4 linked regions of the Pelodiscus sinensis genome follow. The protein of the gene in region 1 interacts with the protein of each later gene in a biochemical or structural test. Links are inferred from orthologs where the notes say so. Each region holds a gene or a part of one and is shown in the gene's direction. Other genes may lie near its edges. The genes, in order: PDZK1, SLC15A5, CFTR and ABCC4.

Region 1 (7,830 bases):
CAGTGCCAAAGCTTGCAGAAACAACATGCAGAAGTCCAGATTAATTCTGAAATTATCTGTTATTCTGATTTACTGCAAGGCTTGTGAGAGTGGATGTGTTTTGTAAGCTCCCAGATCCTGGAGTCATGGGGTATGAGATCCTTGATTTCTCTCCCCTCTGCTCCCCCTTAAAAGAAAAAAAAAAAACCCCAAAATTCTAGTCTACATGGTTGCAGAGCAAAGCTTGAAACATAACATGGTAGGAGGGGGCACCAGCCATGTGCCCCCTCAGCCTGAGGAAAGGCTGGGACAACTCCCCTCCATCTCAGGTCCTGCCTCTCACCACCCTTGCTCCACCTTTTTCCACTCCCCTGAGCTATGCGGCCTCGGGGACTAGCAGAGCTGGCAGCAGGGGCTGTCCTCTTCCCTCCTCCCCATACTCACCAGCAGCAGTGAGGCAAGTGGAGCAAGGTGGCCCTAGCTTGCTCTGCTTCCTCAGCCCCAATGCTCTGCTTTCCGGCAGTGAGTGTGGAGCCGTCCCGTCTGTCCCGTAAGAGATGTGACCAAAGGAGCACTGCAAGCTGGGGCCGCTGCTCCACTTGGCCTGCTGCTGGTGGTGAGTGTGGCAGGGGGCAGAGCCCAGCTGTAGGTACTAGACCCACCTCCCACTAGTTTCCCCGTTGGCTACTGGCTGGTCCCTTTCCCCTCCCACCCAAAGTGCTTGGGAAATTCATGCCACGTGCAGGCAGATGCTGCAGCTAAAGCTGGCTGCTGTGCGGTGGCTCAGGGGGCCAGGGCTGGGGTACATAAATATTAGCAGATGGGAGAACCTGAAAAGGCAAATAGCTAAGATGGGAAGGAACAAGAGCGAGCAAGTGCACTAACCAGGCCCTGAGCTACCACAGCCAGGATTTAGGTAAAGATGAATTAATCAAGGAGAGAATGACAAGGTTGTCATTGTTATAAATGGAACTCACTGCTTGTCTTGGAATATTAGAATCACAGTATTAAACTGTCCTGCCTCTGTATTGACAAGTCGTGCCATACTTGATGTTTCCTTAGCGCTCCTGCTCCTGGAATCAGGTGATTCTATGTGAATATCAACTTTCTATTTTTGAACTAACCATCTGGACCCCACAATGGCAGAGATATGTAGAGCCCTGTGGTGAGACAAAATTGGGATCCACAGCTGCAAAAATGATCCACAGATGCCCATGGACAGGGCTTGACAAATCATGTAATATACTCGCCTGTGGCGAGTAGATTACAAGCCGGCACAGCCAGCGTCACACGATCTGCGCATGCGCAGCGCGATCTACACATGCGCGGCTTGCAGAACTGTGCGGCTGGCGAGTGGGGCTCGCCGCCACTTGGCGAACCCTGCCCATGGACATAAGGCAAGTATCTGCAAATTATGCCTGGTTCTAGATCCAAAATGATATCTGTAGCTGCACCCGTATCTGCAAAAATGAGTCATGGATATCCGCATCTGTGGATATCAAGTGCATATCTGTGGATTTGCAGGGCTCTAGAGATATGCTTGTAAACCAGCCTTCCCATAGGGTGTGCAGGTGGGGAGGTTGATAGATATAGATAAGCAAGATACTGTATTAATCAGCAACACTTCAGGTTTCAAATATGTGCCTCTCCTTGCCAGCTGAATGTGGCACTGCAACCACTCCCTGCCTCCATTTTTTAAAATTTTATTCTTTTATAACACAAATCTTCAGAAGCATTTTACAGCTTAATGATAATCTTAGTAGATAAAAAGTACTCCAGTATTAATTGACCTGTGGAACCAGGCTTTTTCTGTTGCCCTTGGGATTCACGTGGCTTAGCCCTCTAGCTGGGTCACGCTCAGAGTTCAATTCTCTTCTGGGATCAGAGAAGTCCAAACAAAACAAAACATTCTTTCACACCCGGCTTGGGCCCCCCTCAGCCCACCCTCTGGGCTCAGGCTATCTTTTAATCTTTCTGGGATGCAGGGGCCTCTCCCAAGCTCTTTCCTTGAAATCCTCTTACAGTCTTGGCCCCTTTGGGATATCTTTGAGTCTTCCCTGCTCTGGAAGACCCTGCTTCAGGGCCCCTTTATAGGAGTATAACTTGCTCACTGTAGTTCCTCCCCCAAAATCAGTTCCTCCAGCCCCTCTTATGGGGGCATCTATACAACAAAGTGGCAGAAAGTCTCAGAGCCTGGGGCAACAGCTTCATGTTTGTGTGATGGTGCTAAAAACAGCAGTATAGACATTGTGGCATGACCCATGAAGCACACACTCCTCCCTAAGCTACAAAGTCCATGTTTTTTATTTTTAGCACTGTAACATGAGCTCAAGTCTCTAGTCTCGGGCATTGAGAATCCCTGCCACTTGCTGTGTAGGTATATAGGGTTGCCAGGCCTCCAGGATTGTCCTGGAGTCTCCAGGAATTAAAGATTAATCTTTCATTAAAGACTGTCATGTGATGAAACCTCCAGGAAATCACCCAACCAAAATCAGCAACCTTAGACATATTCTATGAGGTCCAGGTGTTTCAGGCAATTACATGATGCCTATTAATTCAGCCCATTCCCCCATCCGGAGCCTGGATGGCAGTCAAGCTCCAGTGGATGTCTGGTGCAGAAACTAGCTGCACTGCAGTGCCAAAAAGCATTAGCACTGGCCACCTCACTACCCACTCAGGTTTGGCCCCTCTGCCATGAAGGAGGGACAGTATGTTAAAATTTGAGTGATTGGCATTGCAACCTGATGCAGAGTGCAATGGAATTCTGGTTGACTCCCTTTGCCTCCCCCAAATTGGCCCTAGGCACATGCCTAGCTTGTCTATGCTTTAATGTGGCCCATATGCTTGCTTACTCACTCAATACTGCACCCTCATCCTTCCACAAAGCCCCATGCCCTGACCTCATTGCTCTACTGTTCGTGCACCCACATGCATTCTCCTACCCAGCTGCTGGGTCAAACCCACCACACTCATTCCCAAAGAACATTGCCAGCCCCATTCCCATTTACCAATTTTCCTATAACTCACTCACCATAGGAAGAGAATCCCAATCCCTCACCCTCAGCTGGTAGACACTCCCCAACACTACCTCCCTCAAACCCCTGCTTGCCCTCTGGAACCTACCCACACAGCCTACCCCCCTTCTTCTGCCCCTCTGGCCATCTCTGCCTCTACTTCAGTTGGAAGATGTTATAGGCTATGTCTACACTGCATGCTTATTTCAAAACAACAGAGTGTGTGTCTACACAGCAAGCCCATTATTTCAAAACTATTTTGAAATAACAGGCTTCTTAGTCCGAGCTCCGTAACCCTCGTTTCACAAGGAGCAAGGGAAGTTCAAGAGAGTTCCTCCTTCGACTTCCTGATGCGTAGACAGCGCCAAGAGCCAAGTTAAGCTACTTCAACTTCAGTTACACAATTAATGTAGCTGAAATTGCATATCTTGACTTTAGCCTGCAGTGTAGACATACCCATAGAGGCGCAAATTACTGTTCTCAAAACAATACATGGGCTGTTAGAGCCTCATCTGTATCCACCAAGCTCATTGAGTCAACTGGCCCTTAGTGAATATCAATGAAGCTACTTTGCATCAACAAAACCTCCCGACACATTACCCAAATAGCATGCTGCTCCTAGAGACTTAGGTTCTAGTCCCACCTCCACAACTTCTGGGTGACCTCAGACATGTTGCTTTTCACCTCTCTGCCTCTGTTTCCTTATCTAGCCTTTGTCACTCACCTGTTTACATTGCAAGCTGTTTGAAGCAGGGATTCTGTCTTACCATGTGTTTGTCTAGCACCTACCAGAATGGGCTTCAATCTTTATTGAGGCCTCTGGACACTATTGTAATACAAATAATTCCTACCCTCAGAATGCATATGGAGTCCCATGCCCAACATCCAGAAGGAAGATTTTCATGCATCTCCACATTCATCCTGCCTATATGCAAAGATCATATTAATGCAATATTCAGACAGATTTCGATGCCTTTTACTTCCACCCCTCTAGCCTCTTGGGACTGTCTGTTCCTATTCTTTAGCTCATAACAGACATGGATATAATGCATCACAGATTCCCAGGCCTGCCCATGGAGAGGACGGGGCCAAAGGAGCAACTGTTGTCGGGCCCAGCAATACAAAAGAGTATTGGGGTCTTATCTACCACTACCGCAGTAGCTGGAACTCTGGGCCCTTTAAATCACTGCCAGAGGGCTGGGAGGAGGGGTAGGGAGGCTGTGGTCCAGGCAGTGCTGAAAGGTGGCTATCCACAGCCATGCCTCCTTCCACCTGAGGCCCCGCCCCTTCCAGGGGCACAGAGTAGGGGGCTCTGCCTTGCTCAGGGCCCAGCAAGGCTGTTGGCCCCACTGCTGATTCCACAGAAAATTTGCTCACGGTTACACAGGCAAATATCTTAAGTTTACTTTTCCTTGTCAACGGAGCTGATTTGCTAAGGAAACAATCAGATATTAACCATGGAACCTCACAATGCCATTTTGCAACAGTGTAACTAAGGCAGTTATTAATTTGGAGACTATAACCAGTAGAGGTACAACAGACGCGTTCTTTCCAATAGCTGAGTCCCTGTCACCAGAGCCTGCCTGCCAATGCTCATTTCTAGTGGTTGAAACTTGTCTTGGATCTGCTCTATGTGAGCCCTTGTCTGTTTTAGGGGAAAGCTCTTACCAAGAGCAAAGATCAGGCTTATCTTGGATCTGCTCCCTGTAAAAGTCTGAGTTTGACAGTATAATGATCAATAAAACCCCAGAGCAGAATTCAAAGTTGCTGAGAAAGGAGAAGTGATTTGCACCACTGCAGGCAGGTTATCAAGGAGGTGAATACATGAAGTAAGACTCAGTTAAATAGATAATCTTTTAACTCAACCTTTGCACAGTCCAAATTCAGCTGTACCTACAGGCAAAGCCACAGGAGAGACTGCTGAGAATTCCCTAGGGGACAGCACCCTGCAGACACGGGTAAGAACTTCCCTTCTTTCTTTACTAACCCTTGCCCCCAAACCTCCCAGGAGTTACTACCCTGGTTACCTTTTTAGGTTGTTTACCCCTATTCCTCAAAGCTTTTGTGCAGCAAAAGGAGTATTAGCATTAAGCCCCATGCTAGCTTCCCCACTCCCCCCCTGAGGTGCATGAGTTCAATATCTGCCATTTCCGGCACCTGCAGATTTCTTCGGCTTGGTTTTCGCTGGGATTTATCTCTATTTCAGGGACTGGTGAAAACTCCTAGGATATTTCTACACTGCCCCCGTTTTGCGCAAAAAAATATGCAAATGAGGCAAAGCATGGAATATCACAGCACTTCATTTACATAATTAATGAGGCTCTGTTTTTGTGCAAGAGGCTTGTGCGCAAAAAAGAGCCATCTACACAGCTCCTTTTTGCGCAAAAACCCTCTCTTGTCAAGAGCCATTCTTCCTGAAAAAAAATGCGGAAGAACAGCTCTTACAAAGAGGTTTTTGCGCAAAAGCCTCTTCCGCAAAAACGAAGCCTAATTTATTATGCAAATGAGATGCAGCGATATTCCACGCTTCGCCTCATTTGCATATTTTTTGTGCAAAACGGGGGCAGTGTAAACATAGCCCTAGAGCAGGGTTTCCCAACCTATGGGTTGGGACCCAAATATGGGTCGCCATTACATTTCAAAAGTGTCTCCACAGGTGGCTCTGCCTCCCCACCTCCCCCCATTTTTGAATTGCCTTGGGTCACCAAGTCTTCCTGCATTGTCAAAATGGGTCCCCATCTGGAAAAGGTTGGGAACCGCTGCCCTAGAGTATTTAGAACAAGCCACTATGCGCTGCAATTTTCACAAATGCAGCCTGCTCCAGTTTAAAGCAGGTCAGTTCCACAAGGGCAAGTGGTTGCTTTGCCTGTCTACATGGAGGATTTGTCATAATACCAGTGCATGGGGGATAGAATCAGGGCAAATCGTGACTTTTCAAAGGAAAGGCAGGTAAATTGTGTGCTGTGGTCTCCTCTTTACCTATAGGAGAGCTGTGTTTGGGATTAGAATCTCTACCAGGAGAAATTTTCAAAATTGGGTTTAGGAAAGGATGCACCTGCTACAACTGAATTTACTTCAGTCTTAATTTCTCTTTTGTGGATATGTTCAGTGCTAAGTATTGCAGTATATTCAATCTTTCCAGCTATGGGCAGGGTCCTAAGCTGACAAAACTGTATCTTCCTTCAGCTTCCATAACACATCTGTGCCCATCTGACTTTCAATATGCTAGCTGACCTAACTCACCCATATCCTTTCACCTATAGGGGCAATCATCTTTTAATAAACGGGGAGGAGGAGATTGTTTTTGAGCTTGTTTATACATGAAAATTAACTTATTATGAAATCTGGTGTGAATTTAAAGCATCTTTTCCTTGCAAACCTTTGCGGGCACTCTTATTCAAGAAAAAGAGTATCTTAAATTCTGACTTTGTTAAATAGCACCAGAATGAGAGGGGTCACACAGAGAGTTAATCTGGAATAATTATTCCAGATTATAATCTGATTGTTAAGAGTGATATGTGCATGTGGGCCTGTCTATCCATCTTTAGGGGGATAGCAACAATACAGAGAACAATTTGGAGGGACAAGTCAGCAGCTAGAGCTTCGCTGGCATTAATGGGATCTTGGACAAATTTTGTCAATGCTTCTTAGAAATAGTCTTGTTAATTATCTCCACACCCACAAAGTCCCAGGCCAGACCATCCCTGCAACATGGGCCTATTTCTTTATAAACGAGCCCAATTTATTTTGAATAGCTCTCTCTCTAGTCACAAAGCTTCTCATGGACTCTGCTGACCTAGGCTAGCATCCTGTGGGTGGTCAGAGAGAGTAGTTCAGAGTCACAAACCTGAATTGATTAGAATACCAGACAGCTGAAACGAGACAGAGTTTCTACATATATCATCCACAAGGTCTGGCGCATAAGGAGAGAAACACAGAGTACCTAGGAAATCTTTACAGCAGGACAGGTGATCACATGGACCGTATTTATCTGGGCTGCGATTAATGTGTAATTTGTACATCACAGCTTGCCTTGGTCACATGACAGCTTTTTCTCTTAGTGATAAGCAGACAAAAGTCCATCCAAAGGGTTATCAGTCATTAACTACATAATTACACAGATTTTTTTGAAGAGCCAGTCAGAGAAAGATGTGTTAGTAAACCACAACACTCACTAGGATAGCTCTTTGGCAGGAGCTGTTGAACAGTGAAATTGCCTCCCCCTGGACCTGCTCCCCAGAGTGAACCTTATTTCCCATGTATTACATTTTCCCTTGTTGTGCATTTTATAATGGTCAGGCACAGAAAAGAAAAAAAAAAGAAGAGTTCCATCCCACCGACTAGTAATATCCCAAAGACCCATCTGGCTACACAGTCAGTTGGCCCTGAATTCTGCCAGAAAGTGCTCTGGTTTGCATGGCAGGCTGGGGCAACAGATTGGAAATTCAGCATCAATTAATACTTAAAAACTTGAGTTTTTCAATGAATTAAATGGAAAGTAATGAACCCAGTCCATACAGCAACCTACTGTTTCTGTAATTCCTTCAAGATATGTAACTTCCTCCAAAGTGTGAAAATATTTTTGTACATCATTGCACTGTAGAGGTCATCAGGGCAGAAAGCTGGAAGATCTGGCAATTAGATAGGTAGTGGGCGGAGATCTTTGGTACCTGAGAATACAGGTTAAGATTGTGGTATAAGCACATTATCTAGACATTTGTGCTCTAATGACCAGCAGCAAAAGATTTAAAACCCCTTTCCAAACCCACAAAGCCTTCTCTGTGCTAGCACAGCCCAGTTTTGTAGGTGTGCATCCAAAGGAGTTTTTCCACAGGTG
Region 2 (7,594 bases), about 51 Mb from region 1:
TCCCTTTATTAGGCATTGGTGAGGCCACATCCGGAGTATTGCATCCTATTCTGTCCTCCGCCTCCCCCCCCCCCCATTACAGAAAGGATGTAGACACATTGGAGAGGGTCCAGTGGAGGGCAACACAAATGATTAGGGTCTGGAGCACATGACCTATGAGGAGAAGCTGAGGGATTTGGGCTTATTTCATCTGCCAAAGAGACGGAGGGGGAGGGGGATTTGATAATAGCCTTCAACTGAAGTGGGGGTTACATAGAGGATGGATAGAAGCTATTCTCAGTGATGACAGAAGGAAGAACAAGGAGCAATGGTCTCAAGTCGTAGTGGGGGAGATCTAGGTTGGATATTAGGAAAAACTATTTCATTGGGAGGGTAGTGACGCACTGGATTGGGTTACTTAGGGAGGTGGGGGAATCACCATCTCTAGAGGGTTTTAAGTCCTGTGTCAACAAAGTCTGGTTGGGATGATTTAGTTCGAGTTGGTCCTGCATTTATCAGGGGGTTGGACTCGATCTCCTGAGGTTTCTTTTATGATTGTAAGTAGCAGGTTATCTTCAGACTGTCAAAGACCATTGTTTCCCAATAGTATTTTTGTGTCCTAGACAGACTGAAAGTTAGTCTAGGTTTTCCTTTCCAACTGCAGAGAGAACAAGAAGAGTGGTTCTTTCTTTGAGGTGTGGAAATAGACACAGTGCACTCCAAAGTAGTCACGAACAGTGGCTGTCTAGCATGATGATTAGTCAGCTATTCTCACTAGAAGACATCCTGCAGGGAACAATGCTTTGTTGGCAGGGAGATGAATTAGTCACAGCTACTACCTGCTTTAAATTAAACTATTCTCAGGAAAGATTAAAGTGGTAATTCTCAAAAACATGATATTCTAGTCTTTGCCTCAATTATCACATCTCTTGTTTTCTGTCACTGAAGTTGTCACCCCTTTCATCACATTGCGATCTCTAGATCTGTATACACAGGACCGAAACTTTGTCCCGTTGAAGTCAACTGGAATTCTGGCATTGATTTCAAAAGTGAGTTAGACCCGTAGGCTCCTAAGTCTCTCTGAAAGTGAATGGGATTTGGTCACCTACGTGTAAGAGTCTCAAAGGTACTTAATTTCCATTGAAAAAATCAATAGGAGTTAGGCATCTAAGCACCTTTGAGGATCTCAGCTTACATCGCTTTTGAAAATGAGGCTTACAAACTTAAGTAAGCTTGGTTTTGCAACCCTGAGCAGAGCAAATCCTTGGGCCTGAGTTTTTTAAAAATTACACTTGTAGTGCCAAACACATCAGCAAAATGTCCATGACATTTCTCAACAAGAAATTTGGCAAGAACTACAGCAAGTGTTAGGGTGCATTACAACATTTTTCATATTTTCTTTAAAAAAAGTTGTATTGTGTTTAAATAAGAATAGCAGATGAAAACAATCAACACAGTGTAACTTTTCCATCATATGAGCAGAAGTGTAGATCCTGTAGCCGCACAACCAGATTGGCAACCGGACTGAACCAAGGCAAAGCAGGTGGTAAGTCAGTAACTGGAGCAACATGCAAGTGCCTAGGCTACTTCCTGGTCACTCCCTACTATTTTAAGTGGGCTGTAGAACCAATAAAGAACATCTTTCTGGTGCTGAGCTCATCAATTGATAGATGGCCTACACAAAAATAACAACTCCACTGTGTCTATATTGGCAAGATTTTGTGCAAAAGTGGCTGCTTTTGTGCAAAAACTTGCCGCCTGTCTACGCTGGCCGTGAGTTCTTGTGCAAGAACACTGATGTTCAAATGTAAGAAATCAGTGCTTCTTGTGCTACAACTATGGCGCTCCCACTCCGGAATAAGCCCTCTTGCGCAAGTGTTCTTGTGCAAGAGGCCAGTGTAGACAGGCAACATGAATTTCTTGTGCAAAAAAGTCCGATGGCTAAAATGGCCATCGGAGCTTTCTTGCGCAAGAGAGCATCTACACTGGCATGGATGCTTTTGCGTAAAAGCACGTCTCTTGCACAAAAGCACATTCCAGTGTAGACGCTTTCTTGCGCAAATACTTTAACACAAAAACTCTTGCGTTAAAAGTATTTGCGCAAAATCTTGCCAATGTAGACGTAGCCCTTCTGTACTGATGAGCAGTCTCTTTTACACCAGCTGAGATCATTAGGCACCTAGGAGAGAACAAATACTTTTATAACACTTCAGGAACCAGCTGTCCCATTTTGACAGAGCTATCTCTTTAAAGATGCGTCTTTAAAGGATTTCAAGACCCAGATCCACAAAGGCCCTTATGCCCCTGACTTACCCATCACTATGATCCACAAAACTCTCACTTTGCTACCACCTGACTCTTAGGTGCCTCAGGTCACTCGGTGCCTAAGTTTGTGCAGTAAAAGTTCCCGCAGTGCCTATGTTTCTGCCTGGGTGCATGTATATTGCTGCATCCCTCAAGAAGTCCACATACTCCTCTCACATATAAGCCCCAGTGCACTTTTTGGACTGTGGGAAGATAGGCACTTCTCTTCCTAATCCATATTCAGGTGATTGGGTAGGTGGACTCAGAGGCCATGTAAAATGGACAGGATGAAGGCAGGCAAGGATGAGGCTCACCTCTCTTACAACCTGCAACCCAGCAATTAGAGTGCTTGCCTCTGCTGTGAGTAAAACCTCAGTTTAAGTCCCTAGTCTGCCTAGTGAGAGCTCTGCTAATTCTTAGGTGGGTGTCTAACCATTAGACTAGAGGGTGAGTCTGGCCCAATTAACATTTAGTTATTCAGTTAGTTAATTAAAATGGAACACATTCAGTTGAAGGAGACACCCCCCCCCCCCCCACTAGCATATCCCATAATTTAGTCATTCTAAATCCTTTTGTCAGCCTGGTTGGGGCCCACACAGATTTGTCAGAGGCAGGACTCCTCTTTGAACCCACTTCAGTCCTCAGCCTGTGTTGGTGATTCACACTTAAAATCGCATCTGGTTCAATACTAGTGTAACCCTAAAGATATTAGCTACACTGACTCCTTTCCTCAAGCACTTTGCATTAAGTATTCTAACTACTATATTAAGGGATAAACCAGCTAACAGATTAAAGGGTTTGGTCCAGACAATGCAGCAGAGTAAGGAATAGAACACATGGTCCCCAGGGCTCACCATCAAACATTTCAACTCACTTCTCCCAGAGGCAGACCCATTTCTGAAATAATCACATACATAGAAACCCATTCCCACACAACTGTTTCAGGCTACTTTGTGGTTTTATGGTGTTTAACCAGCCAACCAGTCAGTTGTTTTCCCTGCCTGACCCCAGGATCAGACAAACTATCATCAAACAAGGAATTGTTGTAATTAAACCCAACTGGCAAGCCATCTAGCTCTACTGCTCTTCTTATAATCTCATTTGCCCTCAATCAGCAGCACCAGTAAGACACAGGTGCCCCCTGGCCAAATCTTTTAAAGACAAAAATCTACACATGAGCAGGGAATGTTCACTATTGAATTGTGCATAGAAGGCAGAGTGTATTTACCACAGTGTTTTCAATCTGAGTCTATACTACAGTTTTATCTTCAAGTTGAGTAAAAAAAAGGGCACCTTAATGCATCTGCAGCTAGGTAAGGGGTATTCCCCAAGATAGAGTGTGCGTCTACTCTTTGGTCACAATACTTTCTCCTTTCCTGTGGTGTGGTTTGGGACCAGGCTTATTAAACTATGAAATAAAAACCAGCTGAGGCTATAAGTAATCCCTCTAGTTTGCTTTTTCTCCAGCCATCAAAAAAGAATGAAATACATTCTAGTCCCTTTTAGGGAATGTGGCAGGCATATGTACTGGTATGATACAAAATTCCCTCATCCCCCCCCCCCCCCCCCCAGTCCCACCCAGAAGTAAGCAGACTCTGTGATACCTTTAGCCAAGTTCTGGCTTTAGAACTTCATTTGAATTATGAGAATTCAACCCTTAGTTGAGAAAGAGGCTCTACTGATGCTTGGCTCTACTGCTGCATTCAGGGCTTCTGGATTTATATTTAATGGCCATTACAGAAAATTAGGGCAGTAACCTTTAGTCTTGATACCAAAGTTAAGTGAATTTTGGATTTGGACCTCTGACTTGGGCCTATACATGTGATCTATATACTATCAGGCATCTCTATTACTTTATAATACGTAGTCATAACATCTGCTAAAGGGTGAGAATCATGTGTGCGTTTAAGTATCTATATAGTTAAATGAAACTGAAAAGAGTCTTTGTTTCAACAGATTGCAAAGTGAAAGGCTTGATAGTGTTCTTTAGAAACATGCGTCAGATTCACCATTGTCTTTCACCATGTGCAGTCATTTACACTTGTACAAAGTGGGTGCAGGACATTACCAGTTGGGACAGGTATAAATGGCCATGCATGGTAGTGGAGATTCAGGAGGTTGGACTAATGTTGTGTAAACTTCTTAGTGGAGTGCCTGGGGGAGACATGCTGTAGACTTGTCCCAATTTATCTTTATTAACTATTCATAAACTATCAAGTTAACATCCAGGAACCGAAGTCTTCCTCATTCTGCTTCTTTATGGCATGTGTTAGCTGTGGTAAAAGGTCAGGCTAGAGAAGCTGTGCTTGTTTTCGGTGTTTTTTTTATTGCTTTTTCTCTTCATTACTACATGGAATTACTTTCTTGTAAAACCTGTTTTATTGTATTCAATGTGCTAGCATTTCTTACTTTTCTAATTAACTTTCTTATCTGAATTTCTACCAAAAATAACAAGAAATGTAATAATGATAAGATATTGTTCACCTAAAAACATGCATTCTTTCTATCTTTAGCCTTTTGCTTGCAGTTTCTCACTTGTTGCTTAATTAAGGTATGAGAATATTAGCTCCACATTATTTTCTTGATCTAGTACTTGAATTCTGCTGAAACAATTTAGCCTTCCTCAGTATTTAAACCTTTATCTGTAACATGCAGATACAATATGTGCCAAATTGTATTAGATACACATAATTTAAGAGGTAATATTATTTTGAAGGGAGGGGTAAAAGTCTTGTTCACCACCAAACAAACAGATTGGATTGAGTAACTATTGTGCACTCAGAAGTTTTAAATATTGGTATCCCCTGTGTTCCTTGATCTTTAATGTAACAGCACTAAAGTGATAGGTACCCTGAGGAATTGTGGTAGTAAGGTGTGGAATTCAAAGCAAGGGTCTTACCAGTTTGTTAATTACAGTGGAGGATAACAGAAGGCACATACAGCCTAACCCATTCAATTTAGTTTTGCTAAGAACAGTTAAGTATGCCTGTTACAGACCTGAGAGCTTTACAAGAAAAACAACTTCTGGAACACACTGCCGAGAGTGAGAAAAGGAAATTCTCTGGAGAAGAAAAGCATGTTGTAGTCTCCTCTGGGTTCAACTCTCAGAAGAAACTTCAGGTGGCTATTTGCCTACTGTTGATAGAGCTGTGCGAGAGATTCACTTTCTTTGGCATTGTCTGCAACATGATTCTATTTTGCACCATCAAACTTGGTTATCCCAACCACCAGGCAGCCATCATAAACATGTGCTTTGTAGGTGCCTCCATGTTGTCACCTGTGTTAATGGGCTGGATTGCTGAACAGCTGGTGGGGAGGATGAAGCTGGTGTATATCTGCATGTTTCTCCACTTTCTAGGTAGGTGCTATGCCATGATCATTTCACCTGGCATGTGCTTTTTGTATGCAACTCTGCTCTGTGTCAGTTTTTTAAAGTACCATAGAAATTCACTGTTCATCATATAAATGCAAATCCAGGGATTCTTTTCAACCAGGTGGCCTCACCAAACTTCTCTACTAGCTAAGGGCTTAACTTTTCTTTTCACAAAATGTACTAATATATCTTAATGAAGCATTATTTTGAAACTTTGTGAAACAATCTTTGTAAAATAAGGCCTAGATGTTTTGAAAGGTGACTAGGGGGGATTGGGTGCTGTAGCCTGAGAACCTAAACTGTGACACTGTAAAGTGGTTTTACTTTTCAGAAAGCAGGCACTACGGATTTTTCTGAAAGTGAGGCCTTTTAAGGTATCAGGTAGGGCACCCAAAGTCACTGATCTCTTTTGGAAAATGCCACTTGCTCAGGACTACAACTTTCAATGCATTTCTCCAGTTGGCACAAATTTGAGGTTCGGCAGTATTTAAAACTACACGATCGTTACATTTGGGTAATAAGGGTAGACAAACTTTGACTTGAATCCAGAAGCAATACTTGTATGCTCACCTTTAAGGCCTGACTCATATTAAAAATATTTCACTCCACCCAATGGAGTTGTTTATATTCAGCACAGGATCCCCTTTTCTAAATATTTTTTTAGATAACTTACGTTTGAATGTTACCGGCACGTGATCTTCCATATATCTGAAGTCCCCTCAATATACACACACACACATGTAATGTATGGAGAGCTCCTAAAGAGCTTTCACAGAGTGGCTGGAAGGTGGTGGTGGTGGTGGGGGAGCAAACAATCTAAAACATTAGCTATTTGCATGGATTGTGAAGGAGATTAGGTGGTGTAAGGAGTAGAGCCACACCCTTTCCTAGCCAAACTGAGTTTGCAAGGCTCTGCTCCCTCTGTACAACTGTCACATGCAATTTAGTAAATGTCACAGCTGACAATTGCTTTCTCAGCCTAAATTGATCAGATAATACAATTTGTATGCCTTTTGTTTCTAGGTCAGGGTTGAGGTAAAGTAGGGACCTTAAGACAGTGTCTTGTTGTACTCTCCTGCTGTGAGTAACAGTCAATCTCTGATGATGCTGCCTGTGGCTCAAACTACACATCTACCAGAAGTAACTTCATAAAATCACCAGGTTTTAAGTGAACAAAACAGGAAGAAGATGAGGGTAGAACAAGTTATTACCACTCCAGGGCCATGTTAACACAGACATTGCAAATTCACCCATTTTTCCGTAGCTCTCTAATAAAATATGTATCCACTGCATAACTAACCACTTGATGTATAGCTGAAACATACACTTAGTCACATTTACTTATACTAAGGGACTGCAGGCAGCTTTCAGGCTTGGCAAAAAAGTTACTATTTAGATAGGCATCAGAATTGTTGAAGTAATCAAGATCATTTCTGAATGAGTCTTCTCTACAAGCAACATTTCTGTCCACTTGAGCTCCATCCAGAAGCTCTTGTGTGGAATTCTCTTGTGTGCAGCAGGTGTCCTCAGCTTATGTTTCAGAAATCTCTGCACTGGGGATGCTAGCACCTCCTTTAGAGTGCTGCTGCTGCAGCTGGAAATAATTCCAGGTCATGTACATCAGCTATGTAAGCATCTAGGGGGGTAACTGAAGAGAAAAGATCACAAGAATGTGAAAGAAAAAATGATGCAGAGAACTAGGTGGGTCAGTGGAAAGAAGGCAGAAGGAAGCCACTTTGTCTAGAGTACTAAAGCGCTCTATGAATACCTGAAAAAAACTATTTGCTTTATATCCCTCCCTGTCTTTTGAATCTAGATTACAAAAAACAGGACATCAAAGTAGGACAAATTGACTTTCAGGAATAAATTGTTGAACTATATACCAAATATATTACATCAGACCACTTAACCCTCCCTTGACAACCATCAGAAGCAGCA
Region 3 (7,382 bases), about 120 Mb from region 1:
CCCAAAGGGACTTGAGCATTGAAACCAATATTCCCTCTATTTTTTCCATCTATGTGCAGAATAATTTTTATGTGAACCAGGGATAGAAACAAAATATCTAGCTGTGGGTACTGTGCTAATCAGCTGGGTGGCATCTGAATTACTCCTGAGTGACTGCATGAGGGTCTAGCTTATAGGAAACACTGGTTATAATGTTAAGTGCCACAACATTTAACTTTTAGACACCTATGTGGTTAAAAAAATGTGCACAGGAACAACACTAATCTACAAAGCTGAATGAGATACCTAGGATTAAAAATGTGATCCACAAACAACAACTTGCTAGGTAGGGAGCTTCCTAAACTAACCCATGGGAAATGCTGAAGAAAAGGATGCATGCTAAGCCACACCATACACTTCTCCAGCCTCATTCCCAGATAGGCACCTAAGTGCAGGCTGCAAGGAGGCACCTAGCTGCTTATAGCAATTCATGAACAAGGACTCACCAGCTGCAGTCAGCTTAGGTGCTCAAGTTATTTCTTGCAAGAATAAGTTAGGTGCCTTCGACGCTCCACACAAGATGCCTTATATTCTTCATCCCAGTGGCTAGAGCACTTACCTGCAATGTGGGAGACACAAGTTCATTGCCCTTTCTTCTTCCATGTGGGGGGGGGGGGGGGGGAGTGAAGAGGTGAAAGACAGCTTTTGAAATGTTAGGTAGATGCTTTTACTAGCCAGCTCTGAGATATTCTGAATTGGAATTCCCTTAGTATCTCCCCTTGAAGCTGTTCCACTGTGAATAAGTCACTGGGGGTATGTCTACACTAGCTCGTTAATTCGAGCTAGATAGGCAAATCAGGCAACCGGAGTTGCAAATGAAGCCCGGGCTTTAAATATCCCGGGCTTTATTTGCATGTTCCAGTCTGGCCGCCATTTTTAAATCCCCCTTAATTTGAACGAACTGCCCACGGCAGTTTAAAGTTAATCCGAACTAAGGACTTCATTTGCAACTCTGGATGCCTGATTTGCCTATCTAGCTCGAATTAACGAGCTAGTGTAGATATACCCTGGGATAGGAGGAGAATGACTAATCCAGGGTTTAGGACACATGCCTGCATTCAGCAGGAGTTCTGTGCCCTAATTGGCTGCTATATGATGCAGCTCCTTGCTTCAGAGCCCCAGCCTTTTCCCAGGCTTGGATTTAACCCTTGGGGCAGATGCCTCATCGCAAGTCTGAACAATAATTAAGTGGGACATCTCCACTAGCCCTTTTTCCTCAAGACTCACACTGCTGCTATCACCAATTCAGCTCCACTAGTGAGCACAACAGTGAGAATACTAGAATAGACAATGCTTAACAGCCATTGATGTTTCAAGCATAGCATCATCTAGACCTAATCTAAGCAGGATGAGTTTGCCCTAATGCTTAAGATACTGACACGCCTATTATTGCTATCACAGGTAAGATCAGTGGGAAATTTGAGACAAAAAAGCCTTGTTTAGCCACTCCATAAGAGGAGACATTAACCAACTTCATATATTATGCGGTAATAACACCAAGATGAAGAAGAATTATTTATGGGAGTACAGTTGGACATAACTAGGAATAATGATATAAAATTAAGAAAGAAAAATATCAGTAAAAGTATCCTAGGAATGACAGCTAATTAAATGGTAGCATAAATTGCAAGGAAAAAGAAAGGCATGGGGCTGGAGATGCAACTAGTCTGGATAAAGTACTAGACAATATACCGAGGGGTGCAACTATGCACTTGCTGAAAGATAGTTCTCCTCTACCCTTTCCATATCTAATGTTTTAAATACAAAAACCATAAAAACCAAAATCAACAAATGTAGTGTCTAAATAGCAAAACCACGGTATTAAACAAAACAAACCAGGATCAATCACACAATGAATAACTCAACAAAATAACCGTATGTTCTTATGCTGTGATCAGTGTTTTTCCTAATGTTAGTTGTATGCTTGTCAGCACTTTGGTTATGTTTAGATTTTAATCTCTTTGGGTGCAGGAACCAGGTACCTTGTTGTTAATGCACACATATTGTACTCCATAAATAATAGTTTGTTGAGCCAATGTTATGAAATGTGTGACATCCCACCTTCACTGAGCCAGTATCATTGTTCTTGGGAAGTTTAAAAAAAAAAAAGCACAGCTTCATTTCTTACAGTCGTGAGTTAGATAATCATTTCCAGTATGGAAATAGGGTAAAAATATGCAGCAGATATAATTCTTTATTTCAGTATCTTCAGCATCTCTCATAGCTAGATCAGGTAAGTGTCCTTTTTGAGGGCCTGTCCACCTTCCAGCCCGCTCATTGACTCCTTGTTATGGACAAGGTCTGGCCAGGTCCCTGAGAGCCCTTGACCTTTTTTAGGGGCAAGAGGAGTTTAAAAAGTCCAAAATTTTAGGAGGTCAATATCCCTGGCTGAGGGGCACACAATTTTTGGCTCTTTTGGATATGGCTCACTTTTTCTTGATCATCATGGGCTTGGTAGGGAACCCACTTTCCTGGGTTCCAGACTAGGAACCATACACAAGATAAATTCATGGAGTGTAGGTCCATCAATGACTATAAGCCCAGGTTCTGCACTGCTCTCAGCCTCTGAGTGTCTGAAACCGGACTAAAAGACAGAAAATAAATCATGCAATAATTTCCCAGCTTTGTTAATTCCTTTTAAAGCATCTGGCCTCAGTCACTGTTTGAAAGAATGGGCTAGAGCAGAGGTGGGCAATAAAACAGCAGCAGTTCCCCAGAGTGAGCCACTTGTGGGCTGCTGCCACTATATTTACCTGTGCTGCCACAGGTATGGGTGATCACAGCTCCCACTGGCCAGGAACAGCAGTCTGCAGCCAACGGGAGCTGTGATCCCCCACACCTGCAGAATGCAGGTAAATACAGTGCCATGGGGGCCCAACAGGGACTAACCCTAGTGGACTGCATTTGGCCTATTGTCCAATATTTGCCCACCCCTGATCTAGAGAGACCTCTGGTCTGACCCAACATGGCCATTGTTATGACAAAAGAGCATCAAGCTCTTCCAACTCCTTCATGTTACCCTTGTCTACCTAGCATACCTACCTTTCAAGCTGTTCCTCAGTTACCTTTTTGGTCCCATCCCCTAGAGGGTCCATATTCCTGAGGAGTATCTTACCAACTTGTTACTGAAGGCTGCTGCTCACCTACTTTTTGCTCTACATTTTTTTAAAATCTCTCAGCTGCTTTGAGTCCCCTGATCAGCCCCAGCTGAGCAGGCAGGCAGTTGCCCAATCTCAGTAACCCTTTTGTAGCCAAGACAGCATGGGGTCTGGACACTCCATGAGAGTATCCTTATTACTGAGTATTAACATTTGCACTTAGATTAATTTCGAGCAGAAATTAATCAGGTAATTTCACAGTAAACAAATTTGCCAAAGGCCTCGAGATAATAAAAATCTCAGTTCAAAGAGCCTGCTTCCCTATTAATCTGCTCCAGTCCAATGTCAATGTGTGCCTAACACTTTTAACAATAGCCTTCCAGGATTTAACGCAACAAGGTGTACTGAGCAGTTTATAAAATATGAGGCAGTAGCGGGGATTTCAACTGCCTTTGCACCTGATTTCGCCGAGTTTTACCTTTTCTTCTGATGCTTTAAATGCCAAGTCTTTCATTGTAAAGTGGGAGTCTGAGTTTCTTTCCATAAACTCTTCCAGAGGATTTGCTGACAGAGAGCGAAATTGGCTTTATAGCAGGTGTCCTGGTGAACCTCTGCCAGTTCTTTTAGGTCGGCAACGTGTTGTGCTTGGCATTTGAGTTACCAGCCGAGCTAGGGGTGGGGATGGGATGTAGCAATACTTTGGGCTCAGAGCTGTGGAGTGGGCCGTGTTACACAGTACCAGACAAAGACTGCGTGGCAGGGGGCAGAGAATAAGACCCTGGGCACAACCCAGAAAGCGCAGAGGTGACCTGGGCAGGGGAAGGGGCTTTCCTAGGGGGAAGGAAAGGTCCGTTTGGAGCCCAGGAGCAGGGGGGGGGGTCGGAGTGATCCCAGAAAACTGCGAGGGGTGGGGGGGATTATCCGGGGGAGACCTGACCCCAAGGGGCTCTGGAGCCTCACGGTTTCACACAGCCCCGAAGCACAAGTGTGGGGCGAGTAAGTCCGAGGGCGTCACCAGGCTCCGCGGCCAGCCCCCTCATGCCGCAAGGCAGCCGCTGGAGCGCGGGGCTCCTCGGGGGAACTCGGGGCTGGGGTCCCGGAGCGCGCACCTGGCGGCGGCGGGCGGGACTGGGAGGAGGATTCCTTTGGGGCCGGAGGGGCGAGGCCAGGCGGGGTGCGGGGGCCGGAGGCCGGGCCCGTGGACACAGCAGAGGCGGGGAGAGGGGCAGGGGAAGGAGGGAGCCAATGACATCAGCGCGGGCAGGGTGCATAAGGTGGGGGAGCCGCAGGAGCGGGGCGGGCGCGGGAGAGGTTCGCAAGTAGCCGCCGCTGCAGCTCCCTGCGCGGCCCCGGGCACCATGCAGCGCTCCCCCCTGGAGAAGGCCAACGTCTTCTCCAAACTTTTCTTCAGGTAAGAGCCGGGGCCGGGCGCGGGGGTCGGGCCCTGCGGCGGGCGGCAGCGCGCGACATGCGGCTCGGCGGGGTCCCTCGGATCCTGCATCCTCAGCCCCCGGGCTGCGGCCGCCGCGCGCCTGGCCGGAGTCGGGCTGGGGTTGCTCCCCTTCGCCTCGCGCTGCCCAGGTTGTTGCCGCCGGCGCCGCGCTCCGTGGTCTTCCCGGGCACGTCGTGCCTGTGTTCTGAACACTAGGGGCGGACACCGCTTCAGCTCGTGCCATCGATGCTCCCTGAGGGAGTGAATTCAGAGCGGGCTATCTGAGCAGCCCTGGGTAAACCGCGGCAGGCGGCTGTGCATTTCTCTGCAAGGTGTGAGAACTCCGGAGGGAATTTGCTTCGCCAGCACTTTTCTTGAAAGTGATTTTAGGGTCAACTCCCTAGACACAGATCTCGGTCAGACGAGTCCTGATGGATTGAAAGTCCGTGGCCCCTTTTCTCTTCTTTTTGCGTGTTCTCTTTCGTCCCCTTCCTCCACCACCATCACCACACGCAGTACACACATACAAATCACACATCTGAGAATCCCTTACCAGGAGCTGTGACAAGTAACACTTGAGATCATACGGGAGCAAGATTAGAAAGACAAAAATCGTCCTCCATATTTCCCCAACTTTGTACCTCTGACAGCCTACTGGGTGCACCCGGTTTCACGCAGCTACAAAGTTTTCCTTATTGCTTCCTATAGGCATCAATAGGGGTAAGAAAATCAGTTTATAAAATAGTAAACTGTGCTTATGAATGGCAGGAGGACTCTGGCAAGTGTAATAGAAATGTAGCCGTGTTAGTCTGGTGTAGCTGAAGCAAAATGCAGGACTATGTAGCACTTTAAAGACTAACAAGATGGTTTATTAGATGATGTGCTTTCGTGGGCCAGACCCACGTGGGTCTGGCCCACGAAAGCACATCATCTAATAAACCATCTTGTTAGTCTTTAAAGTGCTACATAGTCCTGCATTTTGCTTCTGGCAAGTGTGACCCCTCAGACTCACTTTTTAAAAATGGCTAGATTTCAGGATAACTTTGCCTCTTTTAAAATATTTTTGGGAGGTTAGTCCAGCCTCTAGTTTGTTTTCATCTTAGTTATTTCTGGGACATATCATAGAGTAAGTATCTTAGAATCTCTGATGCTTAAGCCTCAAAAAATATACTCCAAGAAAAAAAATGATCTCTGATCCCTTCTTTAGGCAAAAGTTCCCTGGTCTGAACTAGGACTTAAACACATGGTCAGTGTGAAGCATCTGCTTAAGTATCTTGAGTTATCCAAAGTCCATTGAACTGAAGGAGCATCTTTCTATTGACTTCAGTGGGCTTTGGATTAGGCCTGTTGTGAAACTGAAATAAATGCAACTAATATAACATTTATTACTCTGCAATTAAAAAAAAAGCATGCTGAAATATACTCAATGTTTCTCTCCTTGTCACCAATATGTAAACCATTTTATAATGCTAATTGGTGTGGTAGAAGAAAAGTCAACCCACTGAAAATAAACTTTCTTTGCAATAAACACAAAAAAATGTAAATACGGGCATACTTTCACAGTGAATGAAACTGGTAAACTAATAAATTTCTGTGTAGTACAAAGTTTTTGTTTATTTGTTGTCTAGGACATTTATATTACAAATGATTTCTTTGTTCCTTCTCAACATATATCATCCCTTTTACGATTCAGTGCTTTTGGAATGTTTTATTTGATACATCAATAGGCTAACACTAGTTAGATGTAAAAATGGTGAATATTAAGAGTTGCATCAAAACTCTTCTTTTAGAAGGGTGCCAGAATACATAGTTTTTATTTATTAAATTTGTTCAAAAGCTAACATTTTTAAACTATGAAAGTATATTGGTTTATTTGAAAATACATGCCTTTGCTATTCAGTTACCCAAACAGAGTATCTATCTCATAGGGTCAGGATAAATTTCTGGGGGGAAATATGTTATTGTAGTTGCTAGAAAGCAAGCTGACATACAGCAACAAGTGAAATTATCTAGTTATAAGAAGTGAAAAGAATTTAAGAAATACTATGTGTGATGAACTTTACAAAACCAGAACAATACTCTTGTATAGCATTAGGTAAACACTTGTAGATTCAATAAACTGGTTCATCCCATAAATTTGTGGTTAAATATTGGATTTTGCTGTGTTTTTTCTAAAATGATAGAATTTCATTTTGGTGTGTAATTGTATCTGCATAACAAGAGCAAACCCTGTTCTAGAAAGCATTCTCATTTAGAAAGCACTTAAGAATATACTTAAGGTTAAGCATGTGCCTTTTATGCTATCCCATGTACCAGGTTTGATGCTTTTATTATTCTAGTGTAGCATGAACAGTGCAGCTGAAATAAAATCAAGAAGTCAATACTTCCTTTGTTTATAAAATGAAATGGAAGAAAGTTACTTTTCCTTCAAACAACAATTATTTAACATTGTCCTATAATCTGTCTTCATGTAGTTTAAGACATTTTCACTTTCACAGTTTGTACTGGGTTCTGCTTCTTTCTTGGCTTTGTATTTGTAAAATGCCAATCTCGATGTAATGTAGTAGACTGAAGGTCACTGTACGACCATTTGAAATAACTGTGGTGAAACTTGCAGATAAGATACTATCCACCAGGGGAGTCTCAGTGATAAACATATCATTCATCATAGTGGTTCTCAGCTATCTGACGACAGCATATGAAATGTTAAGTAATATATTACTTTTTGCAAACCTGTGGCCAGATTCTTTGCTTAGATGCATGTGTCCTGCTTGGGAGATATGTGAACATAGCTGAGTAAGGAATTTGGATCT
Region 4 (7,098 bases), about 88 Mb from region 1:
TCCAAGTATACCAAAAATGCAAGTTCAATTTTTGTTTTAGATGTAAGGTTCTGATTTCAACCCTGACCCAACGAACAGATTCCTCATCTTCTTCTGTAAGCCTGCTGCCAAACAATGGAAAGGGTACAGTCTTTTCTAAAATTCAAAGCATTAATTCAAATTCATAGCATTCATTTACTGCATACTTTCCCCCCATCTTTCCATCCAGCCCTTCAATGTTTATCCAGAAAAGTTTTTTTGCACTGATTTTCACCTGTTTGTGTTGTTCTGGTAATAAACACTGATAAATTCCTGGGGAAAACGAAGTAAAATAAAAACTGAAAATAAAGAGGCTTAGCTATACCATATTATGGTTATAAAAGTCATTGTGAGGATGAACTTAATTCACACTTTAAAGTTGTTTAAAGAAGTTCTGTTTGGCACAAGCTGTTCTTGATATATCTTGTAGGACAATCAATTTCAAAACTGTGTTTTACTCTTGCACATTCAGACTATAAAGTCTTTATTTATGTGCCATCCAAATCACACAAAGTTTATCACAGCAATTAATGAGGGACTTGAACTGAGATTTGGGAATAATTTTTTTTTCTGATAGTACCTGGAGGAAAGCTTAAATAAAATGTTTCAGAAGTAATAAGCAGTTATATTTATCTTATTTATAATTTTTAAAGTCTAGTGGATACCTTTAAGTATGAGGGAGGTGGGTGCTTTCCATCTTGTTACTAGATTTGCCCAATACTATGGGGTATGCTCATTTATTAGGGTTACTCTTATGGGACTGGGGAATTCTATCAATTCTATCAGTGTGCTGCTTGTGCTCTCATATGGAGCTGAATTCTCTCCCTGTTGTCAATTCCCCCTCCCACTGGAGCTCTCCTGAAGGAACTAGGTTCCTCAGGATGGGATTCTTCCCACCTTAGCAACACACACAGACACTCACACCCACTACCAGAGCATGTCTGAGAGGACTGGGTACTCAGCACTCACAAGCTGACCCCTCATATGTCCCTGGATTCAGCAGGATGGGTTAACAGCAATGCTACACTGCACCATCATGAGCCTTTAAACTCAGTTCGCTGGATTAAACAGCACTTTAAGCTGCCATACTCATAAGCCTCCAGGTTCAGCACCCCCTAACCCCACTTTCACACCACAGTAATTCACTGGTAAACCACACGATGAGCAAACCCCACAGGATTTTGGGCACTACAGGGATCTTTAGCTTGGGTGCAAGAAGTGTTGTTGCAGAGTGAATGGGGAAGCCAAAACAACACCCCTTGAGGAAGAGTAAGTGAAAGAGAAAGAAAGAGAGAGAAGCAAACAGCTTAACAATGAAAGTTATTTTTCTGGGTAGTGAATAGATATGAAACAGTTACAATATTAAATCTAAATTGAAACTGATTACAAATGTTTGGTAACCATATAACAGTTTACATAGGTCAGGGTCAGGAGACTATGCTTAGAGAGGCAGTTGGGGGTGAGGAAGGGAGAGAGAGAGAGACCTTACCACTCCGTGGAGCATGCACTGATCGGAATTCCCAGATGGTGATAGAAGCTGGGGGTCTAGAGGGCAGGAGATAAGCAGAGCAGAGCCCCCAGCACGATCAGACAGGAGATGATGAATTCTCAATGGAACTGATTCAGTTTAAATCCAGGTGTCAGAACAGTTTTTCTTGGGACAGGGTAGGAGTTTTTATAGGGATAGGACAATAGTTCAAAGAGAAAAAGAGGCGGGACAATAGAGACTGATCATCCCTGGTTATGGATGATGTTCCTTGAACAAACTCACAATGCAACTAGGCAGTTTCAATATTTTGGATGTCAATAGGTTCCATTACTAGAATTGGTCTGATAATGACTAATTGGGGTGTGAGCAGGCCTGGCTTCATTAGCATCTGGAGCAGAGATTTCCCATCAGGCAGTGCTTCTCTGCTTTTGGTATCCCATAGTTCAGTGCGGTTCTGCTTTGGAAGAGCTGGTCTCCATTCTGTATGCTAATAAGATGTCCCTCTGTTCTATCTTCAATGCAGATGAGGCTGGGGTGTTTCCTTAATTAGTTTAGGTGTATCTTCCCTGGCCTTTTCATTGCTTTGTCTGATTCTAGCAAACCTAGGAGAAGGGGAAGGATGGTTTTCCATGAATGTCACTCCCTGGCTCTCCAGGAGCACAGGGCTGGTAGGTAACCTGCAACTGTCCATCAAAATCTAATTAGTGCTTATTTGTATTTTAGTAGTGCAAAGAGGGGCTAGGTGCTGTACAAACATGTAGGAAAACTATGCTTCCCCTAAGGAGCTGCCAGGCTAAGGCAGTGGTTTCCAACAGGGAAGGTCCACAGACTATGTCTAAGATTTCCAAAAAAGCCCTAGCTCTATTCACAATTTTAGAGGCCTGCAAAAGAAAGAATCATAGAAGACTACATAGAGATTCCATAACTTCTCTAAGCAATTTATTCCAGTGATCCAGGGTATGTCTGGACCTTGTCCACGATTTCCGCACTAGGCACAGGAAAGTGGCCGTCTAGGGCAGGAGAGCTGCCAGCCTGGCCACCCAGGAGCAGGTGTGCAAGAGAATCAAGGGGGTCCAGTGAGACCCCCGTCCCTGAGCCCTGAGCTTACAATGGCCGTCCTGGGTCAGACCAAAGGTCCATCTAGCCCAGTAGCCTGTCTGCCGACAGCGGCCAACCCTAGGGACTCTGGAGGGGATGGACCGAAGACAGTGACCAAGCCATTTGTCTCGTGCCATCCCTCTCCAGCCTTCCACAAACCTTGGCCAGGGACACCACTCCTACCCCCTGGCTAATAGCACTCCATGGACCCAGCCTCCATGACTTGATCTCACTTCCCTTTAAACTCTGTTCCAGTTCTAGCCTTCACAGCCTCCTGCAGCAAGGAGTTCCACAGGTTGACTCTTTGCTTTGTGAAGAACAACTTTCTGTTACTAGTTTGAAGCCTGCTACCCATCCCTTTCCTTTGGTGTCCTTTAGTCCTTCTTTATGGGAACTAATGAAAAACTTTTCTGTATGCACCCTCTCCACCCAACTCCTGTTTTTAGAGACTTCTATCCTGTCCCCCCTCCGTCTCCTCTTTTCTAAGCTGAAAAGTCCCAGTCTCTTTAGCCTCTCTTCATATGGGACCTGTTCCCAACCCCTGATCATTTTAGTTGCCCTCCCCTCTCCCAGCCTCTCTCTTCCCCTAACCCACCTCCTTTTCCCAGTCTCCCCCAGTTTTGTTCAATAAAGACAGATTCCATTTTGGAAGACATGTTATCTTTATTTTGTACATCAAGAAGAGGGGCTAGGGAAGGGTAAGTGGAAGGAGGTGAGGGAGGAATGGGGCATGAGCCCCTGATGGGGAGGACTGGGCTGGCTCTGTGGGCTTCTGGAGGTGGAAGCTCTCCTGCAGCCTCCCAATTGCCCCCTCTCCCCAGATGGCAGCCTGTGGCAAGTGCAGCTGAGCTGATGGCTGAGTGGTGTGATGTGCCTAGTGTGGGTACTCCGGGCACTCCAAGCCAGGACTGCTTTGCAAGCGGGGCACCCCTGAGAACTGTCTTTCCGGGGTGGGGGTCGGGACCCTTTAAGCACAGCCCTCGGCTAGCCTGAGACAGCATCTCCACACTCTAAGTCCTCCTCTGATGCCCTGCCGGCACTGCTTCCGGCCATCCTTAACCTTGGTTCAGGGTCCACTTAATGTGGACATGCTAGTTCGAATTAGCAAAATGCTAATTCAAACTAGTTTTTAGTTCTTTTCTTGGGGAATAAGCTATCTCGAAACAGTTCTTTCAGGAGTTATTTTGAATCTAGTTATTTCAAACTAACTTCCTAGCATAGATGTCCCCTGACAATTAAGAAGTTTTTCCTAATGTCCAACCTAAGCCTCCCTTGGTGCCCATTTCCACCTCCTGTCAGAAAACATGATATAAAGACAACCAAGATGGGACTTCAATCCACAACTACAGAGACTGATACTTTATCCAGTCAGTTCCAGGGGCACCTATGAAAGATTATAACCCCACTGATCTAAGGTCGTTGCCCCCATGGAGCTGGCCTCCTGTGGCTTCCCGTTAACTTTCTAAGGCGCAAATCCTGCAAACATTGCGGCCCCTCAGGGGAGCTGGGCAGCTGTAGCCGGAGCCAGGAGGGGGCTCGCGTGTGCGGGAGCTGGAAGAAAGGAGGCTTATTGAAATCCTGCTCGCACTGAAGGCCAGGCCCGAGCCCCCCTGCCGGCGGGCGGTAGGTCTCCCGGCGCTGACCGCCCACGCTCCAGCACGTCTCTTGCCACGTCCCGGGGCAGCGCTTCGCGGGGATCGTGCCCGGGCGATGCCTGGCCCCGGCGGCTGCTGGCGGACTCCGGCCGTGCGAGGGCGCCGGGGCTGGGTGTCAGGTTTCCCGGAAGCGGCGCCGGGCTGGGGAGGCGGCGGCTGCCGGCAGCTGCATGCTGCGGGCCGGGCACTGAGCGGCGGCTGCAGGTGACAGCAGGGGATGGAGGCGCCGCGGCGGGAGAAGAAGCCCAACCCCCTGCAGGCGGCCAACCTCTGCTCCCGGCTCTTCTTCTGGTGAGTCCCCGGCCCGCGGGCTGCTCGGGCCGCCAGGAGCAGGCGTCGGAGCCAGGCGCGCACAGGAGCTCGCCCCGCGCCCAGGGTCCGCTCAGGGGCTCAGGCTCCCTCCCGGGCACGCGCTGGACAGAGCCGGGCAGGAGCTGCCGGCCGGGCTGGCGGGGGGGAGTGTGACCGCGGACAGAGCAGGGGGGAGGCTGTGCACATGGGGGGGGGGAGTGTGACCGCGGACAGAGCAGGGGGGGAGGCTGTGCACATGGGGGGGGGGGAGTGTGACCGCGGACAGAGCAGGGGGGAGGCTGTGCACATGGGGGGGGGGAGTGTGACCGCGGACAGAGCAGGGGGGGAGGCTGTGCACATGGGGGGGGGGGAGTGTGACCGCGGACAGAGCAGGGGGGAGGCTGTGCACATGGGGGGGGGGTGTGACCGCGGACAGAGCAGGGGGGAGGCTGTGCACATGGGGGGGGAGTGTTACCGCGGACAGAGCAGGGGGGGAGGCTGTGCACATGGGGGGGAGTGTTACCGCGGACAGAGCAGGGGGGAGGCTGTGCACATGGGGGGGGAGTGTGACCGCGGACAGAGCAGGGGGGGAGGCTGTGCACATGGGGGGGGGGAGTGTGACCGCGGACAGAGCAGGGGGGAGGCTGTGCACATGGGGGGGGAGTGTTACCGCGGACAGAGCAGGGGGGAGGCTGTGCACATGGGGGGGGAGTGTGACCGCGGACAGAGCAGGGGGGGAGGCTGTGCACATGGGGGGGGGAGTGTTACCGCGGACAGAGCAGGGGGGGAGGCTGTGCACATGGGGGGGGGGAGTGTTACCGCGGACAGAGCAGGGGGGGAGGCTGTGCACATGGGGGGGGGAGTGTTACCGCGGACAGAGCAGGGGGGGAGGCTGTGCACATGGGGGGGGGGGAGTGTTACCGCGGACAGAGCAGGGGGGGAGGCTGTGCACATGGGGGGGAGTGTTACCGCGGACAGAGCAGGGGGGGAGGCTGTGCACATGGGGGGGGGGAGTGTTACCGCGGACAGAGCAGGGGGGGAGGCTGTGCACATGGGGGGGGGAGTGTTACCGCGGACAGAGCAGGGGGGGAGGCTGTGCACATGGGGGGGGAGTGTTACCGCGGACAGAGCAGGGGGGGAGGCTGTGCACATGGGGGGGGGAGTGTTACCGCGGACAGAGCAGGGGGGGAGGCTGTGCACATGGGGGGGGGAGTGTTACCGCGGACAGAGCAGGGGGGAGGCTGTGCACGTGGGGGGGGGAGTGTTACCGCGGACAGAGCAGGGGGGAGGCTGTGCACGTGGGGGGGGGGGAGTGTTACCGCGGACAGAGCAGGGGGGAGGCTGTGCACGTGGGGGGGGGAGTGTTACCGCGGACAGAGCAGGGGGGAGGCTGTGCACGTGGGGGGGGGGAGTGTTACCGCGGACAGAGCAGGGGGGAGGCTGTGCACATGGGGGGGGGAGTGTTACCGCGGACAGAGCAGGGGGGAGGCAGGCTGTGCACGTGGGGCCGGGGGCCTTTCGCTGGGACCAGCCCCCTTCTCCAAGCCTAGGTCAGGTCCCGTGCGACCCGCTCAGCCGGGCTGCCCCGCGTCCTTTAGCCTCCCGCCAGGCCGCTTCTCGCGGTCCGGACGAGCCAGAGCGCACAGCCGGGGGCAGGCTGGTGGAGCTGCCAACCTCCGCTGCTCGCTGGGCTGATGCTGTGCGCCCGTGGGAGGGCAGGGGGGCGGCAGCGCCATCGCGAATAGGGAGCCTGCGATGCTCGCTGCTGTGCGGAATTGCCTCGTTGGGGACTGATTTCAGCCCCCGGCATGATGTTGTTCTGTGTAGTAAATGGAAAAAGGGAATGTGCTACTTGGGTCACAGCTTCTTGTCTGAGCCACCTGTGCTTAGGTCAGTTGTGATGCAAGTTGTCAGCAATTTTCAAACAAGCTGTTTCTTCCACTTACGCAATGAGCAGAGGCGAACCAGTCACTTGTTCCTTCTAACGAAATCTACCCTACCTCGAGCAAACTCCTGGTTTATTTTTTCTTTTTTAAATGAGATCCCTTAAGTAGCACGTGGCTCTCTGGGGAATCTTGCAAAGCAATACCCAATTATTAGCTGGCTGCTTCCTACAGTATCGTTCCTGACTATTGGTTGTTCCGTTTATCCTCTGGGGATCCACGTGTTGAGGCTAAATTTAAAGTGGACTGACTGCTAAGGAACTGCTTAGAAACTGCTTCAATTGAAGTAGGCAGTTAACATTTCTGCAGTAATAGGACAAAGGAGAATTAGTATGTCATGAATTGTTAAAATGAGCCATCAATTTGGAGTCTCTGGAGACCATCATCTTTAGCCACTGCCTTGTCTGTTTTCATTATTCAAATTGGGAGTAATTAAAAATATGTGGTTTAAAAATGTTTTTATTTGTGCTTCAGAATGTCTTGTGCACTAATACATGGTAAAACATGTACCCTAAGCTCCAAAACTACATCCCATGAGTGGCATTGGGAGGGAGATTGTGATAATTGCTGTTTTTCTTAAGTCCTGACTACTGGATTCATGTGA

Evidence for each region.
Region 2: the proteins of PDZK1 (region 1) and SLC15A5 interact in a test that uses a peptide from one of them, tested with the Homo sapiens proteins (2 studies listed by IntAct, with this or other methods). The link is inferred for Pelodiscus sinensis from reciprocal best matches to the Homo sapiens genes PDZK1 and SLC15A5.
Region 3: the proteins of PDZK1 (region 1) and CFTR form a complex in vitro, tested with the Homo sapiens proteins (2 studies listed by BioGRID and IntAct, with this or other methods). The link is inferred for Pelodiscus sinensis from reciprocal best matches to the Homo sapiens genes PDZK1 and CFTR.
Region 4: the proteins of PDZK1 (region 1) and ABCC4 form a complex in vitro, tested with the Homo sapiens proteins (2 studies listed by BioGRID and IntAct, with this or other methods). The link is inferred for Pelodiscus sinensis from reciprocal best matches to the Homo sapiens genes PDZK1 and ABCC4.

The regions. Positions count from the first base shown.
Region 1 is NC_134711.1:163,351,136-163,358,965, reverse strand, and holds the start of PDZK1 (Na(+)/H(+) exchange regulatory cofactor NHE-RF3), read left to right. Parts: upstream 1-4,809; 5' UTR 4,810-4,951; intron 4,952-7,830. UniProt on the Homo sapiens protein: A scaffold protein that connects plasma membrane proteins and regulatory components, regulating their surface expression in epithelial cells apical domains.
Region 2 is NC_134711.1:112,673,385-112,680,978, reverse strand, and holds the start of SLC15A5 (solute carrier family 15 member 5), read left to right. Parts: upstream 1-4,593; 5' UTR 4,594-5,265; coding exon 5,266-5,641; intron 5,642-7,594. UniProt on the Homo sapiens protein: Proton oligopeptide cotransporter.
Region 3 is NC_134711.1:45,169,639-45,177,020, reverse strand, and holds the start of CFTR (cystic fibrosis transmembrane conductance regulator), read left to right. Parts: upstream 1-4,375; 5' UTR 4,376-4,495; coding exon 4,496-4,548; intron 4,549-7,382. UniProt on the Homo sapiens protein: Epithelial ion channel that plays an important role in the regulation of epithelial ion and water transport and fluid homeostasis. Mediates the transport of chloride ions across the cell membrane.
Region 4 is NC_134711.1:251,544,696-251,551,793, forward strand, and holds the start of ABCC4 (ATP-binding cassette sub-family C member 4), read left to right. Parts: upstream 1-4,078; 5' UTR 4,079-4,477; coding exon 4,478-4,551; intron 4,552-7,098. UniProt on the Homo sapiens protein: ATP-dependent transporter of the ATP-binding cassette (ABC) family that actively extrudes physiological compounds and xenobiotics from cells.